Yarrowia lipolytica: one gene and its partner. The protein of the gene in region 1 interacts with the protein of each later gene in a pairwise test. Links are inferred from orthologs where the notes say so. Each region holds a gene or a part of one and is shown on either strand. Other genes may lie near its edges.

Region 1 (5,613 bases):
AGTGGTTTGGCGGGTCTGGACATCTTTGACGATGATGATGATGACGATGACGATGATTAATGAAGCGCGTTATGTTTTACGCAGTGCGAGAAGCCTGGGACTCGGAAAACTTCGAAAATGGGTGTGCTTCGAGTGCGTAGCACGACCAGCGCGGGATGACTATTGCACAAGCTATCAAACTACAAGTAGGCTTGTCGTCATTTCAAGGAACTTGTGCTACTACTTGTAGTAGTATATATCCCCTATTAACAAGCAAATGATGGCAGTAGACTTCATAGTTATAAAGTGTAGAAGATGTTTAAGGGCTTAGTGAGAACGATTGATCGTTTGTATTTTTAGTAACTTGAACGGACGATGCTCTTGGTCGTGTCAATATGACAGTGTCTACAAGTGGAAGACGCAGACAGTCTTTAGCTCGATACAGCCAAGTCTGTCCTGTTTCTGCAATTTCTCCAACTTAGCACATCGACACTCTGCAGTCGTACAATTGACTCTACAGGTGCAAAAGCAGCTGGTGCTTCGCACTCATCATTCCATCTGGCAATACAATAAATCTACTCTACTTACAAGTCCTTGAGCTCAACATCATCTCTGGACGAACCCACAGGAGCCTCTCGCTCCCTAGTTTCGCCGGTAGGAGCCTCGTTCAGTACCTGCTTGAGCTTGGCCTTGGCCATGTCCGTGGCCTCGGCAATCATGGTATTGGTCATGTGAGTCAGAGGACCCCACAAATGCAATGTGTGGATGACGTAGGCGGCACCAGCAGCCACCAGAAGGAACATGAAGTAGACTGGCGATCGCAAAACAGCCATAATCTCGTTCCAACCCAACAGAAGCAGCAGACCATACATGTAAAGAGGAATCTGGGTAGTGGACTGAATGGTGGACCGCTTGGCCTCAAGATACAGACCCTCAGCCTGCTTCTTAAACTTTTCAATCAGCGACGCCTGTCTCTTTGGGGTCAGAATCACTGCAAACGCAGTCTCGTCATCGTCGTCCTCGTCATCCTCAAGAGCAACAGTAGGCTCAATAGACTTCCCAGAGCTCAATTTTGCAGTCGACAACAGTGGCATAATTTCCAGAGCCTGCTCTCGCGACTTGGCAAATGCGCCGTCGATATCATCTCCAGGACGCCACACAATGGGTACTCCATTGGCATCGTATCGGAAGGACTCCTTGAACTTGTTTTTGAGACGGCTGAGAACTTGCTCTTCCTTGGAAAGTTCCTTGAGCTCAGCACCGAAAACAGCCCAGGCCTCCTGCTGGATCTGTTTGAGACCCTCGGCAGAAGTTTTGGGTGAACCAAAGCCGAAAGAAAACGCACTGGGGGCGGAAGGCGAATAGTTGGGGTCAATCTTCTTGATGGACGCATTCAGAAGCGTTTCGAAGGACTCCAGAATTCGGTCCCACACTGTCTCATCGGGCTTGTTGAGATTCTCGTCGAATTCCTCGTGGAACGAGCTCTTGAACCGTTTGGCAGACCGCGAAATAAGCCGGTCAATCTCAACCTTGCTCTTGTGGTCACGCAGAGTGTCCAGCTCCTGTTCCAGAGCAGCCAGTGTGTCGTCATACGAGAAGTGCGACGAATTGGGCTGGCCAATGGCAGCAGTCACCTGCTTGGCATTGTCGATGAAATGAGCATGGGCAGCTTTGGAGGCTCGAGAGAGGTTTTCGCCAAAAGTGAGAGCAGAAGAGGACTCCAGAGCGGCGTTGAACTGTTCCAGAGATTCACGCTTCAGCTGGGCGAGATACGACTGATACACCTTGCCCAAGTCGTTGTCGACGCGGTCCTCCAGCTTTTCAAGAGTCGCGGAATACACCGAGGGAGTGTATCGAGACGCCTGGGAGTCATACTCGTCCACTGTTTGTTTTCGAGCCTCTCCCATGAGCCCTCCGAGCACCGCAGAGGCCACAGCGCCACCAGAAAGCTGATCTCGGATTTTGACTAGCAGAGAAAGGAAGATATCGAGCGCGCCGGCAGCGATTTCGTCGCATCGGAACCGCGCAACCAGAATCTGCTGCGTGGGCAGATCCAGATCCTTGTTCTGCTCAATCTGGTCCCAGACCTGCTCGGCGTAGAAAGACCATCCGTCCAGAGGCACGTTTCGGTGGTAAACGGGCTTGAAGACATAGTTGGGGTCCTTGGGCACAGTGAATCGACATGCCAGCTGCTCCACGTCGGCGTAGAACTCGTTGGGCTGCAGAAGCTTGTGAGGTAGAGCTGTGAACTGCAAATCAAAGAAGTCCTCTAGTTTGGCATGCTCCAGACCTTCGGGCTTGTTAATAGAGTCCCAAAGCTTACCCATATCCGTCTTGAGGGTTGTAGACAGGTTGGCTAGAGGAGTAGCTCCAATGTGGTCTCTGATGACAAACATGATTAGCGACCTGTTCTGAGAGGTGGCAAACAGGTTGAGGTTGACCTCAAACACAGTCTTGAGCAGTCCCATGTTGGCGCCCTGGTAGAGACCAATCTGATGTTCCCAGATGTTGACAATGAGCACTTCGGAGGTGGCGAGAGCGAACAGAGCCGATTTTCGCTCAAAGTCCTGGTCCTCACCTCGTTCTCTACCATCAGTTCCCTCGACGTCCATCACAAGCACTCCCGAGTCGGAACAATCCTGGCTGTGAGCCGAGTTGGCTGAGTGGGGAGCCTCGAGCTGAGCACGGGCCATCCAGATACCCTTTGTGGTCTGTTGACGAGCGGTTTCATTCATGACGTCGAACTGGGTGCCAAACAGGGCATTGAGGAGAGTCGATTTACCGGTGGACTGGGAACCGAAGACGGCAACTACATGGTAGTCAAGACCAGCACGGTCAAGATGCACCTTTTTGAAGTAAGAGGAGACGTCTGGGTTGAACTCCTTATTTCCGTCAATGAGTTGGAGCGAGGGAATACCGGCGTAAGAGCCAGGTGTCGACTTGGCAGACTTCTGGGAGGTAGGAACTGCGTGGGAGGCAGCAGGAGTGGGAGCAGCCTTGTGAACGGGGGAGGAAGCGGGAATGGACTTCTCAGCGGGAGAAGACACGGGCTTTCGTTCAACAGGCTTGTGCTCTCTCTCCACGGGCTTGTGCTCGGACTTGAGTCCCTCAGGAACAGGGGCGGCAATTGGCTCCGGAGCAGGAATGGGTTCAGGGGCAGCAATTGGTTCAGGGGCGGCAATTGGTTCAGGGGCGGTCACAGGAGCCACGCCAGACTCTCTCACGGGTCTAGAGGCGGGAGGAGGAGGAGCAGGGTGGTGGTGGGTGGTGACGGGTGAGTGGGACGAGTGAGACGAGCTGACAGAGTGGCTGTCATGAGAGTCGTAGCCGGAGACGGGAACTCGAGAGGCCGGAGGTCGAGACGAGGGCACAGGGGGTGCTCCATGGGACTGGGAAGTCATCTTGTTGACACTCTCACTGCTGCTTCTTCCGAGAATATCGTCTTTGGTGAGGAGAGGCTCGAACGAGTCAGATTGACGGAACGTGCTTGCAGATGGACTCGCCGCAGCTGACGATCGATCAAACGATCGCTCCTTCTCAAACGACTTCTCGTCAAACGCCATGGGAGGCGGCACCGTGAAGGGGTTGGGGGGAGGCACGGAATCGAGATGGTTTCGGATCATCTTTTCTTCGGGCGAATCATTGAGCGATGAAGCCAGTCTATCGGTCTTATCGCCCTCGAACGAAAAGGCGTCCTCGATCTCTTTTCGAGACGAAGAAAAGTCGTCCATGTTGGCTGTTGTTGTCTTGTGTGGGGTGCTGTGTAGCTCGAGTTGGAACACGTTCACCATAGAGCAATAAAGTTGAGCAGCACGTGCAATGTGCAGGTAGCTGTAGGGGTATGAAGGGAGAGGGGGAAAGAAATACAGCACCATGTGAATGTGATTAATAGCCGGAGCAGCAACGCCAATCACGTGGCTTCACGTGGCGTCATGGGGAAATCACGTGACCCTACATTTCCCTTTCTCTCATACTCGACAATCGCCGCAACATTCCCTCGTACTTGTAGCTCAGTCTCAACCTACTTACTGTACATACTGGTGTGAGCACATACCACTAACAAGCAACGTCCAAGAACTTTAGACGCGGCGCCAGTTTGATACGTGAAAGGTGTCAGATGTAAGTGAGTGAATAGGAGGCATAGCGGGGCTCAGGAGCAGTTTGAAAGGTGGCTGTGCACACTTATATAGGTTCAGGCATTGTGTTTGTGTAACAGAGGACCCACACTACATCCAGTGAACCACTCTGGCAAGTCACGGGTGTCATGGTTCCCCAAAACATCTGAACAGCGCACAGTCTAAAAACGGGACGAAATGAGACCCAACCATATGTGAGACAATTTGACGAAACAGTATACTGTACTTGTAGATTGCTATAAATGGATGATTGGGTACGAGCTGAGCCTCTGGCTCATTTAGAGACAAAAGAAATGCAATGATCAACGAGTCTCAACAAAAGGGGGTATGTACTGTACTCGTACGATGCAGTGCAGGTGGGCATACAACACATTTGTTATTTGTTCTGCCCAAGGGCTTCATCAAAAAAGATTGCAGCACCCAGGATTCTCGTATGGTCTCCCACTACAATACTAACTAGGCTCTCTGGTGCTTGACTATGGCTAATCGGACGGGAAGCCGTATTTTCACCAGGATATGGCCGCAACCGTTACAAAAAAAACGGCGTTGAACCCTTATATTAGACCATATAAGTCACGTGTGTAAATTTTTAAAATGGGATTTTGGCAGCATTACATGACCGGATTGAAATTTTTTAAAAAGTCACACGTTAGAACAGAATCCTCTCTATCATTCTATGCCGTAATTGTCACAGTTTTTCCAGTAACATCTTGTTTTTGCAGCAATTAACATATCAACGACGCTATAATCGACAAACATTTAGTGGAGAGTTAAGTGGACAATATTTCAGACTAATAGAATGCTACAGCTTACGGCAGGGTGCGTAATATGGCTCGAAATACCCGGTATTACGACTTTTCAGTTTCCATAACTATTATTATTTGAGATCTCAACTAAAACTACCTGGTGTAGTTAAGAACTCCACCTCAACATAGCTGAGCACTACAACACACAACAACACACTTTACAGCACCTTTATAAAATGCTGTGATCTCCACACCCTTTGGATGACTACCACCTTGTCTCACAAACGTCCCGACTCTCCTTACCCGGTATCTACTTGTTACCTATATAAATAGTATATACAGCATCGATTCCTCCAATCAATGTTTGAGGACAAAGTCGATGGTGGAATCGCCCAGTCCGTCCTTTTTCAAATGCTCCCAAGCCGCCTCGTACACGGGTTTGTCTCTACCTTTACCTCTGGTTTTGCCCCTTGTGTTTGCAGTGGGATTCTTCGTTCTCTCACAGTTGCCGATCACATTGAACAACATCCGCATACGGCTCTCTCTGCTGGGTCTCTCCTCTACAGAAATACTAAGAGTGCGTAGATCTGTGCCATCAAAGGCTACCCACTCTTGAATAAGAGCTAGCGCCTCTCTTGTGGCATTAGGACGGTTACTGTTGAGTACCAAATGAACCTGCGTCTCTGCAAATGAGTCAATAACATGCTGGTCGGGTGAAACTCCTCCTCGAGCCATAAACTGCTGGTATTCCC
Region 2 (3,359 bases), on another chromosome or scaffold:
TTGGAAGTGACGACTGACGACATGTGGAGGGTGGGACATGCGAGCGGGAGGACAGGCGACAGTTGCAATTGAACCTGCAGAAATGATCCAGACTCCATACAGTTGACATCTGGTCCCGCTTGTCCTCTTCACGTCACGTGTCCTTTGTAGGAGAGGTGACGTTGTAGTCACTGTATTACAGTACATACAGTGCAATACAGGTACAATTGTACTGGTACTTGTAACTAACAGTACCGTGTAATGTAATTGCTGGTCGTAGCACACCGGCCCCCTTCACGTGACCATCTCCGTTTCCAATGCTCTTCCCCATCCGCGTAGTGCTCGATTGCCACTGCGCAAGGTAGTAATTAACTCAATTGGCGATGACGAGATCAGCAACGGAATTTGGAGAGGGTAATATGGAGATAATATCTACGTCATAATAAGAGATCCAAGGCAAACGACACCGGCCTCTACGAACAAGCACCATATCTATACATCTATGCAACTACTTGACCTGGATCCACCCAATACCCCGTATACCGAGTCCGGTATGGCAACTTAGACGGGGAGAATTCGGACTCCAGCAAGTCGGTCAATGACGGGAGCCACGGCGGGGTGGCGGAGAATAGGCCCAATGACGGGCATGGACCGTAGAAACGCGACAATGACGGCGAAAAAGTCGCCAAATAGCGCCAGAATGCCCACCAGCTCGATAGCAAAGCCAATGAAGGGCCGTTTGATGAGAATGAGGAAAATTCCCAGCCCAAACGCTATCGATCCTCGCAGCTTCTGGCGTCTCGCAAAGAACGCCAGCGTTTTCTGGGGTCCGATCAGCAGGGTGATTCCGATCAGAAAGAGAATCTGGGTTAGTCATGGGTGTAGAGGATGGGGGAGCTTGTCTCTACAGTAGCGCATGGTAACTGGAGATCCAGAGATGGGATCCAGAGTGTGAGAGCCAGATCCAGCTTGAGAGTGTCAAGAGTATTTGGAGATCAAGAGCTAGAGACTACCTGGATCCACAGAGCTGGAGATCCAGAACTTGTCTCAAGATGACCCGGTCCATAGCTTGAATCGGCACTCTCAGCATGGATCACTGTAACCAAAATCCACTATACTTACGTTTCCAAACGCCATAAGAGCGGAATCGAAGAAGGTCATGATTCCCAGAAAGATGAAGAAGATGCCTTTGTTAGTGTATTCAAAACGGTGTGGAGATCACGTTGTATATCGACTGACGAATGTGTCGTAGATCGAGTGAGTCGTAGATCGAGTGTCCCAACATAGGTCGAGTGCTTCAGTCGTAGATTGTGTGTCTGTGTGCGTGTTATGGTTCCATCCCTTTTCCAGTCTCATATCTCGTATCTCGCCCGCGTCACACGTTTCTGTCGTTTCACTGCACCGCGTAACGCGTCTCATCACCTCATCACCTCATCACTCACCTCCAGCCGTGAAGGCCGCGCCATATTCTGTGTTAATTCCTGTTCGAGTCGCCTCGATGCACCACCGGCACCGTCCATCCTCCCCGTCCTTCGGCATACTCACTTTGCATGTCGCTGAACATTGTGTTGGTGGTATTTTTTTCTGGTGCCAAAATGTGTGAGATAAGATCACAAGTCCAAAATTCAAAAAGTCGGGTGGGATGACAGTGCGCACCAGCGTCAGGCGATGATGGTTCCCGGTGACACAATGCACGTGGTAATGGGCAAATAAAGGAGAAGATGTGGGAGAAGAAGGTGGCAGAAGGTCACAGGAGATATATATGACGTGTCACAAGCACAGCTACAGCTACAGTACCAACTACAGTATGTACGTATCGTGCAAGCATCGTATAACGATCATCATACTCTCCCACAGTGTATAAATAGCACGACTCTTGCACAGCCTTACCCCCATCAATTATCATTACAAGCTACTGTGAGGTCCACCTGCCAGACGTTGTTCAAGCTTAAAAGCCGTCTGTCAAGTGGATCATTGCGAGCGCGAATGTGAGAGAGTGGGCGGATGTGTACCGTGTTTCGAGCTTTTTTAGTCGCGAAGGACCCGGAAGGGAATGAGAGAGGAAGGGAATGAGAGGGGGAGGGATGGGAAACACACACAAATGGATTTAATTGGTATATTTTGGTTGGATTGGGTGGATTTGGGTGGGTGTGTGACAACCTGTGATGGTCAGACCATGCCTGAGCTGTTGATAGGGGATGGCATGTAGAGTGAAAAATGAAAAATGAAAATGAAAAATGAAAATGAAAAATGAAAATGAAAAATGAAAATGAAAAATGAAAATGAAAAATGAAAAATGAAAAATGAAAAATGAAAAAAAAAATTGAAAAAAAAATAATAAAAAAAGAAAGAAAAAGTGAGAGATATATATATAATGAAAAAAACACCAACGTCAAGATGGAGAAGTGTTGAACCACCGGTACTGTACTTTACTGTACTTGTTGGATAGACACCTCGCATCACACCCAATCCAGAAAGACCCTCAAGAGTCTGAAGTCTGCTGTTTCTGTTCATCTCTTTTCCTGAATGGCTGACCGTAGATCCTACACATACTTAACAATATTACTTAACAGTAGCATTAGTATCCCAACTAATTATTAATAACTTCAACACGCTGAATATATCGGCGATAAAATAGCCGAAAGGGCCGATTTGCCCGCAAAACATCACAAAAACCATCTCAGGCGGCCATTACTCTCTTTGTCTCTTGATTTTCCTACCATTATACACCCACAAGCATTGTACGATACCGTACTCGTACTGCAGTTAGTGCCCATCCATTGCGCATCATGTCTTTTCCATCACACTCATTCAACCAACCATAATGACTCCACCCATGAATCCGGATATGGACAAGATTCTCCTGTTTGGAGACTCAATTACGCAGTACTCAAGCGACCAGGATCTCACCTTTGCACTCGCCCCGGCCCTTCAACATCTGTACCAGCGCAAAATGGACATTCTCGTCAGAGGATACTCGGGCTACAACACGGACCAGGCGGTCCAGTTTTTCCACCACATTTTGGAGCATGAAAAGGGAATCAAGCTGGTGGTGATTTTCTTCGGGTCCAACGACAGCGCCACCAACGAACAACATGTTCCTCTCGACCGATACAAGGCCAATCTGGAGAAGCTGGCTCAGCAGGCGGTGGACCGCGGTATCAAGGTGATCCTCACGGGTCCCGCGCCCCACGACGAACTGGCTCGAAGAGAAATGTTCAAGGACGAGCCGGGCGTGAACCCGCGGTCGTCACAGCTGCAAAAGAGGTACTCCGAAGCCGCCTGTGAGGTGGCTCTCAAGATGGGTCTTCCTAGCACTAATCTGTGGCACGCTTTTGCTACCGACGCTGGATGGGAGCCCGGAATGCCGTTTCCCAGCA

The links. The genes of interacting proteins can lie anywhere in the genome.
Region 2: the proteins of YALI1_F01897g (region 1) and YALI1_B09279g interact in a protein complementation assay, tested with the Saccharomyces cerevisiae proteins (2 studies listed by BioGRID). The link is inferred for Yarrowia lipolytica from reciprocal best matches to the Saccharomyces cerevisiae genes SEY1 and GOT1.

What each region holds. Positions count from the first base shown.
Region 1 is NC_090775.1:185,871-191,483, forward strand, and holds YALI1_F01897g (uncharacterized protein), read right to left. Parts: upstream 3,855-5,613; coding exon 564-3,854; downstream 1-563. Other genes in the region: YALI1_F01849g (uncharacterized protein), read left to right, coding at 1-60; YALI1_F01929g (uncharacterized protein), read right to left, coding at 5,219-5,613. UniProt on the Saccharomyces cerevisiae protein: Cooperates with the reticulon proteins RTN1 and RTN2 and the tubule-shaping DP1 family protein YOP1 to generate and maintain the structure of the tubular endoplasmic reticulum network. Has GTPase activity, which is required for its function in ER organization.
Region 2 is NC_090771.1:927,152-930,510, forward strand, and holds YALI1_B09279g (uncharacterized protein), read right to left. Parts: upstream 1,544-3,359; coding exon 1,525-1,543; intron 1,449-1,524; coding exon 1,422-1,448; intron 1,167-1,421; coding exon 1,102-1,166; intron 844-1,101; coding exon 541-843; downstream 1-540. Other genes in the region: YALI1_B09299g (uncharacterized protein), read left to right, coding at 2,804-3,359.